2 linked regions of the Coturnix japonica genome follow. The protein of the gene in region 2 binds, or shares a complex with, the protein of the main gene of each other region. Links are inferred from orthologs where the notes say so. Each region holds a gene or a part of one and is shown on either strand. Other genes may lie near its edges. The genes, in order: RAC2 and NCF2.

Region 1 (3,154 bases), on a different chromosome or scaffold from region 2:
CCCAGGAGAATACATCCCCACTGTGTGAGTGACACATCTGCAGTCTGGGGGTGGGTGGGAGGCACGGAAAGCAGGTTATAAAGGAATGCTGTCGTGAACCCCCATACCAGTAGAGGAAGAGAAGCCAAACCAACATGACTTCAGATTGTCATTCACCTTTCACCAAAAGCACTTAGAAAACCAAAGTATAAATGGAACACTTGGAAAACATTAATTAACCCAAGGGTCTACATGCCTGCCAAGTTTACAAGTAGCAGATGGAGTCTACTCCATCTACTCACCTCCTTGGGAGTGGCTGTGAAATGGCCATGTGTTTGTGGACTGCACAACATTTCTCCTCATGCCTGAGACTTGTGGTTGGAGATGATGAAAGGAGGCCATTTTGTGCTCCTTGCAGTAAGGCTTATCTCACAATGGCAGCGTGTGTCATGAGCAAGTTCAAAAAGTCTTTTCATTGCTTCCTTCCTGTCACTGGTTTCCCTTATGAAACATGAAAAAATACACCAGAAACAACAGAAAAGAATCTGCCTCTTGTCATGAGATGTGCAGAGTAAAAAATTTTGCCTCATCCCTCTTCTACTTTTTGAGCCTCAGAATATGTCTCTGCATTTCAGGTTTGATAACTATTCTGCCAATGTGATGGTTGACAGCAAGCCTGTAAATCTGGGGCTTTGGGATACTGCTGGACAAGAGGATTACGACAGGCTGAGGCCACTCTCTTACCCACAGACGGTGGGTCATACTCCACGCTCCTACTCTGGTTCTCCTTCAGATGTATTTCCTTTCCCTGCTGCAAAATCAACTTTTGCCAGACAGCAATGATAGGATTGTTCCCTTCTTTCTTTGCCCTCTTCTGAGAATCCCTATGTTGATATACAATACCTGGAAATCCTAAAGGTTAAAGATATCAAAGGGTGTTTTGAAGCCCTCATCTACACTTCATTACTGAGAAGCAAGGAAACTGGGATCCTCAAAGACACTTATGAGTCCAGCTGACGCTGGTTTTAATGTGGGATAGCTGCTTTATACAACCCTGAGAAACAGAAGCCCTTCTTAAGAAGTTAAAGTGGATGAAGGAATTTAGGAGCAGAGGCAGGAGCTTTCCACATTCCTGTAAACTCCTATTCTGGCTTCTGACCTTTAAAAGAGTCAAGATTTATAAACATGTATTTGATCTGCTGATGCCTCAGCTAAGTCCAGTATTCTAGCAGAACAAATGGGTGATCCTCCCCACCTTCCCTGGAGGGTATTTTTCTTAGAAGTCTCTTGGAAAGCACCGAAAGAATCTGCTGCCTCAAGCATTGGTTTGAAGGTTGCCATTGCAACCAAAAGGGCTGGAATTGAGGCACTGTTTGTTCCCGCTATGTTTAGCTGCATGAGAGTTAGATACTTTATGTATGCTGCCTGCCTGAACTCCTTCTGCAGACAGTGCAAGCACGCCTATTTCTCAACAGCATACTGGTAGCTAGCGTAGGACATGTGCCAAGTCTAGGTGGGTAACACTCTTCTGAGGTGCTTGTCTCTGGTGGCTGTAGTACAGTGGCAGAGGGCAGAATGGGCCTGGCACTCCTGATTGAGATAGCTGAATTTGGATGAAATAAATATAACTCTGATAAGCTGCTTTGGCTTTTTTTTATTTTCAATTGAAGCCTAAATTCTGCCATGCCCAGAAGTGCTTATCCATACTCTGCCTCTTTTGCCTCCTACATGTACACTTTTGGGGTTGAATGTCATTTTGTCTCAACAGCAGGCAATGACAACTATATGGTATTCTTTGAGAAATGAACTGGACACTATCAGACTGTTTCCCATACGAATGAATATGCTTACCACAAAAACCCTATCCTCATAGCTAAACGCTTGTCTCTTCTGATAGTGGTGGCTATGGTTACCATGAGTCAGGAGACTAAATATTCTTCCCTCCCCTAGAGGCAATCAACAGCAGTCTGAACAGTGTCAGATGGTGAGAGACAGCTTTCCCCAGCATGACCCATTTTGGTGCCCACCCAGTTCTGCTCACCCCTCCCTGCCTCCCGTATATTCATTCTAACTATGTACCATGGTTGCATGCCTACAGGATGTCTTCCTGATCTGCTTCTCCCTTGTCAGCCCAGCATCTTATGAAAACGTCCGTGCTAAGGTGAGACAGAGCATCTTTGTCCAATAGTGGGTGAGGAGAGTGAGTTTGGTGTTGGTCTTGCAAAGAGTTGACTGTGGATGGAGACTACTAAGGGGATGTCCAGAGCTAGAGGGGTAATATTGTTTTCTGCATATGTTAGAAGAAATTGGATGTCAGCCTGCTTTTCTGGGTCACCTCAAAGAAGGTGGCCAACCCCACTGAAGAGTTATTATTCTCCTTGATGGGCTACTCTGTGTGAGACCACAGGCTTACGTTCTGATGGCACCTTTCATCCAGTACTGTCCATAGGATATGAAGAGCTGGTGTCCACATCCTTTGTATAGGAAGTGAGGAAGGAAGGAGAGTTGGAGAAAAATGTAGTGTTTCCTTCCTACAACTCCCAGGTTCCTCCCTGGGTTTCAGAAAGCTGTGAGGGACGGAGAATTGCTTATGCTTTCCTTAGTAGATTGTATTTAGCACTGTCTCTCCTTTCACTTCTCACTATTCCCCTGCACTGTTGTCTGAGTTCCTGAGGAATTCAACCTGTGCTTTGAGTTCCATGTTTTTAGACCCAGGAAAAGGGGCTAGTCTGAGCCAGGCTGTAGTGCCCAACACTCAACAGAAGGGCATCATGGAAGAACAAAGTGTCCTGTTAACGTTTTTTAAGGGTGCCCCTTTATTTCACCCATGCATGTTCTCTCTTGTCTCTGCAATTTTGCTCCCTCCTTAGTGGTTCCCCGAGGTGCGGCACCATTGCCCCAGCACTCCCATCATTTTAGTGGGCACAAAGCTGGATCTTCGTGATGACAAAGACACCATTGAGAAGCTGAAGGAGAAGAAGCTGACTCCTATTACATATCCTCAGGGTCTTGCCTTGGCCAAGGAAATCGGTAGGTACTTGCAGGCATCACTGAAAAAAGAGAGGCAGAAGATAAGGGCTTCCACTCAACCTTATGAGGCTTCCTTAGAAGTATATCTGAAGAACAGGGGTCATGGGGCAAAACCCACTTCAGGAGGCTCAGGAAGGAGTTGTGC
Region 2 (3,721 bases):
CAATCTCAATGTCCGTTTGCTGTGTTTAGCAGTAGGGGTTTGTGTGATGATTCAGGATCTCTGGGCTGTAAGTCAGCTGCAAAGCAAAGCACATGCAGGAGCCTAAATGACACTGGAGTCTGGGCAGCCCCAAAGAACATAAAAAGGGAAAACTGAGGCCCAGTACCCTTCTAAGGGTGTGAGCAGCTCCCCTACGTTCTCCACCTTAGCAACACCACCGTTTTTTGTTGCATTTCGAATATGTATTTCCTTTTAAAAAGTCCAAAAAGTGAAGTTTCCACCCAATGCTAATATTGACTCAGCCCCCCCCTCCCCTACCCCCCTTTCCCCACCCCTATCCCAGCCCCCTCAGTTTGTGTATTGAGCTGTGCACCCCGGCAGCTGCGACATTCCAGTGTTTGAACTGCCGCTGACTCTTGCACCCTCAGCGAGCTGACCCAGGTTCACCACCTCACTCCTGGCAGTGCCAGGTCCCAGCGCACCGCTCCACTTGTGCATGAGAACCCGGTGTCAGGAACACGGCCGGCTCTGGGCTGGGACCCCCATCCTGCCCTCCGGTGCCTGGGGGAGCGAGGGAAGGGACCCCAACAGAAACTGGTTTGTGTCGTAAGCTTTTTTTGTGTTATTTGTCTGTCTGTGCAAGAACTGCAGCTGCTGAAATCAGCTTTGCCTTTAATTAAACCATGTTCTCTTCATCCAGGTCTGTGTGGTTACGTTTATTTCCCCCCATGTAACTGAGCTGCGGGCTTTGAAAAACACATTATTACATTATTTTTCTGGAGAAAATTGAAAGAAGGTTTAAAGTTTTATTTTATTTTCCAATTTGAAAGAAAATGAAATAAATTGCAAAGATGTTTTATTTTCCTGCTTTTGCACTTTTAGGTCTGTTTTCAGATGCAGTAATTAACATGGGAACTTCTTATTTGCAGCACTTGAATTCTTAATTTCTTTCAGTCTCCTTAAACTCTTCTGAAATCACATTTCTGGGTCTTTAGTGTTACCATCTCGAACAAAAGCAGAGGGGAAGATGCCGATCTTTCCATTGCATTGCCCTTCCAACCAGTCTTCGTTCACTGCAAGATAAAATTGATGCCATTTTTGTCACCCTAGGGATGTGCAGGAGCACCATTACCCTCTTGTGCTGCAGGCAGGCCTCAGATCAGAACGTTAAGATCATCTGCAGGAAAATAGCAATGTAACATTACAAAACCATGACAATAGCCTCCCCTCTCCCACAGTGGCAGGAGCACCATTACCTTTGGATAAAACAAGTATCACATCTCCTGCCTGAAACTCCAGGTCTTCGGGTTGGGTGGCCTCATAACTGTACTGTGCTACCACTTGGCTTGGTCCTGTCTCTGCTGTTGCCTTCTGTGGCTCCTCTGGTTTGCTGTCAGGTAAAAATCCCTCTCCCTAGGGCAGGAAAGAAGCTGGTGAAGTCACCATGCGGCTTCTGCTTTGTTCCAGATCATGGCAGATAAGCTCTGCTTAGGCTTCATCCTCTGCCATTGAGCCCCTTGCCGGCACCAGTAGAAGAGCTGGTGGCTGGTGCTGCCACCCACCTCTGTGCAGTCACACCACACTGTCAGGCACTGATCCTTGCTGTGGCTCCAAGCTGCCTCCAGGTTCTGCATGCTCAGAGTCACCAGCTCTTTGCTGACTGCAGACTTGTACCTGGGCACCAGAGGACACAGGTAAGGGGAGAGCCACGAAAACTTGACTCCTGCAGCAGACAGTTCTCACCTCAGCATTGTGTGCTCAGGTTGCAGCTCCAGCTTGTCACAAATGAGGCCCAGGAGCTCCTTGTAGGACAGGTCTGGTTTGACTTGCATGGCAACCGTGTATTTGTAATGCACCTTGACAATATAGGGCTTGGGGACAGCCGGTTCGGTTTCCTGCAGGTGGTGAATTGGGGCATCAGGCTTCTCTCCCAAGCTGTATGTGATGTGGATCTGGGCTCTACCTTTTCACTGCAGCACAAGGTCTTACCTTATTGGCTTCTCTCTGCTGCGCTGATGTAACAGGAATGAAATCTGAGGAGGAAGGAAAAGATGGGTCAACAAGTGGAGCACAGTGTAAGCTTTACTGCTGTGGGCATAAATGTGATTCCAGATCCTCTCAGCCCTTCTCTTCAACACCTGCTGTTATCTGTAGCACCACCCAGCCCTGGAGCCGGCTGTGGTTGCCCAAACAGATCAGTATCAGCTACAGTGAGGTTCTTCTGTGGGGTTCCTCAGTAACCACAAAGAGGCCAGGGCTCTGCCTTGCCTGCTGTTGTTTCAGGTGGTCACTGTGCTCACAATGTAGGGCCTGTTCAGTGTTTGTAGGGATTGGAGCTTTAGGTGCGATGCTGTTCCTCTGTGGGCTTTGATGTTACTGATGCATTTGCAAGCACAAAAAGCACAAACAACAATGTATCTTGCCCTCTGTCATATAGTTGCTTCTGGCCCCAGCCCTACCCCAGGTGCTGAGAAGCACCAGCAGCACATCTTCCCAGCGCAGTCGTAGCTCCCAGCTGCCCTGCTGTATGGAGAAGCCTGTAATGCATGTTGTGCTCTGGGACTTATGCAAGCTGGGTCACTTGCCCTGTTGTTTTCCCCAGGCCCTTTTTCCCATTAGCTGCTGCCCTAATTAAGAGCAAAAAGGGGACCTCGAGCTTTGTTGTTGTTCCATCCTCGGTGCTGCAGCTGCAGCATTGCCTCCTGATTTAAACCCACGCTATAAAAGAGGCAGAGATGGCCCCCAGCCCTGGTTCTCCATATCACAGTACACAAGAGACTGTCCCTGCAGTTCCCCCATCCCTCCCCTCCATACACTGACCTGGTGCTGGCCGCCGGGGCCTTGGAGCGGTGCTGCTGGGTGGCTCAGGGATGTCGGGCTCGGGAGGGGCCTCCTCCTGTGCCAGTGTGAAAAGGACAGTGCAGGCAGTCAGCATCCCTAAGGGGAGCAGGCACAGCCCAGGGGTGCTGCTGCCTTGGGGACCCCGTCCTGCTACTCAAGGCAGGAGTCCTGGGGCTAAGCTTTGCCTGCTGTCCATTGATTTGGGGTGGAACAGGGCAGTAGCCATGAGATAGCCATGAGCCAGGAGTCCCACAGCATTGTAAGAGAGATTTGCAGGCATGGATCCTGCTGGGTGATCTATGTGGTTTCCTGGGGCCACCAGCTCCTCCTGGGCTCCTTACCTGGACGTGCAGCTTGTGCTGGAGCTCCATGGGCTCAAGGAAGTTGCAGGGGACGATCCCTTTCTGCAGGGAAGAGACAAAGGGAACAGATGGTGTTAGTCGACCGTCCAGGAGATTGAAGGAATGATTTCTGTATGGCACCCCAAGATGGGCAGCAAGGGTGAACCAGCTCACTTTATTGCCTTGAGCACATGTGGTCAGGCAAACAAAGCAGCACATCTGGCCCCTGCCTGGTAGGAGCAACAGGAGCAGGACACCAGGAGGTTGCCTCTACCAGCTCATAGCCCCTCAAATAGGGGATGCAAGGAAACTGGGTTCAGAAACTCCTTCCAGGCCTCTGTAAATCTCCCTTTTGTGCCAGGCAGACCCCCTACCTTCCCATTGAACATCACCGTAGCCCAGTTGTCCTTCTCTTTCTTCAGGACAAAGACGATGTTTCCTGGCAGGACCTGCAGCTCCTCAGCAGTTTCAGGGATGAACTCATACAGGACACGGTGTGGCTGCCCTTCAAGAGCCCTGGGAATGGAAGCCAGCATCAT

Evidence for each region.
Region 1: NCF2 (region 2) and RAC2 share a complex: the UniProt entries of both Homo sapiens proteins name them as parts of the phagocyte NADPH oxidase complex. The link is inferred for Coturnix japonica from reciprocal best matches to the Homo sapiens genes NCF2 and RAC2.

What each region holds. Positions count from the first base shown.
Region 1 is NC_029516.1:46,924,269-46,927,422, forward strand, and holds part of RAC2 (ras-related C3 botulinum toxin substrate 2), read left to right. Parts: coding exon 1-24; intron 25-614; coding exon 615-732; intron 733-2,077; coding exon 2,078-2,140; intron 2,141-2,849; coding exon 2,850-3,009; coding exon of another isoform or gene 3,010-3,013; intron 3,014-3,154. UniProt on the Homo sapiens protein: Plasma membrane-associated small GTPase which cycles between an active GTP-bound and inactive GDP-bound state.
Region 2 is NC_029523.1:4,321,492-4,325,212, reverse strand, and holds the end of NCF2 (neutrophil cytosol factor 2), read right to left. Parts: intron 3,699-3,721; coding exon 3,557-3,698; intron 3,246-3,556; coding exon 3,183-3,245; intron 2,897-3,182; coding exon 2,821-2,896; intron 2,034-2,820; coding exon 1,990-2,033; intron 1,896-1,989; coding exon 1,744-1,895; intron 1,675-1,743; coding exon 1,563-1,674; intron 1,414-1,562; coding exon 1,257-1,413; intron 1,178-1,256; coding exon of another isoform or gene 1,155-1,177; exon of another isoform or gene 1,074-1,154; coding exon 976-1,073; 3' UTR 793-975; downstream 1-792. UniProt on the Homo sapiens protein: Subunit of the phagocyte NADPH oxidase complex that mediates the transfer of electrons from cytosolic NADPH to O2 to produce the superoxide anion (O2(-)).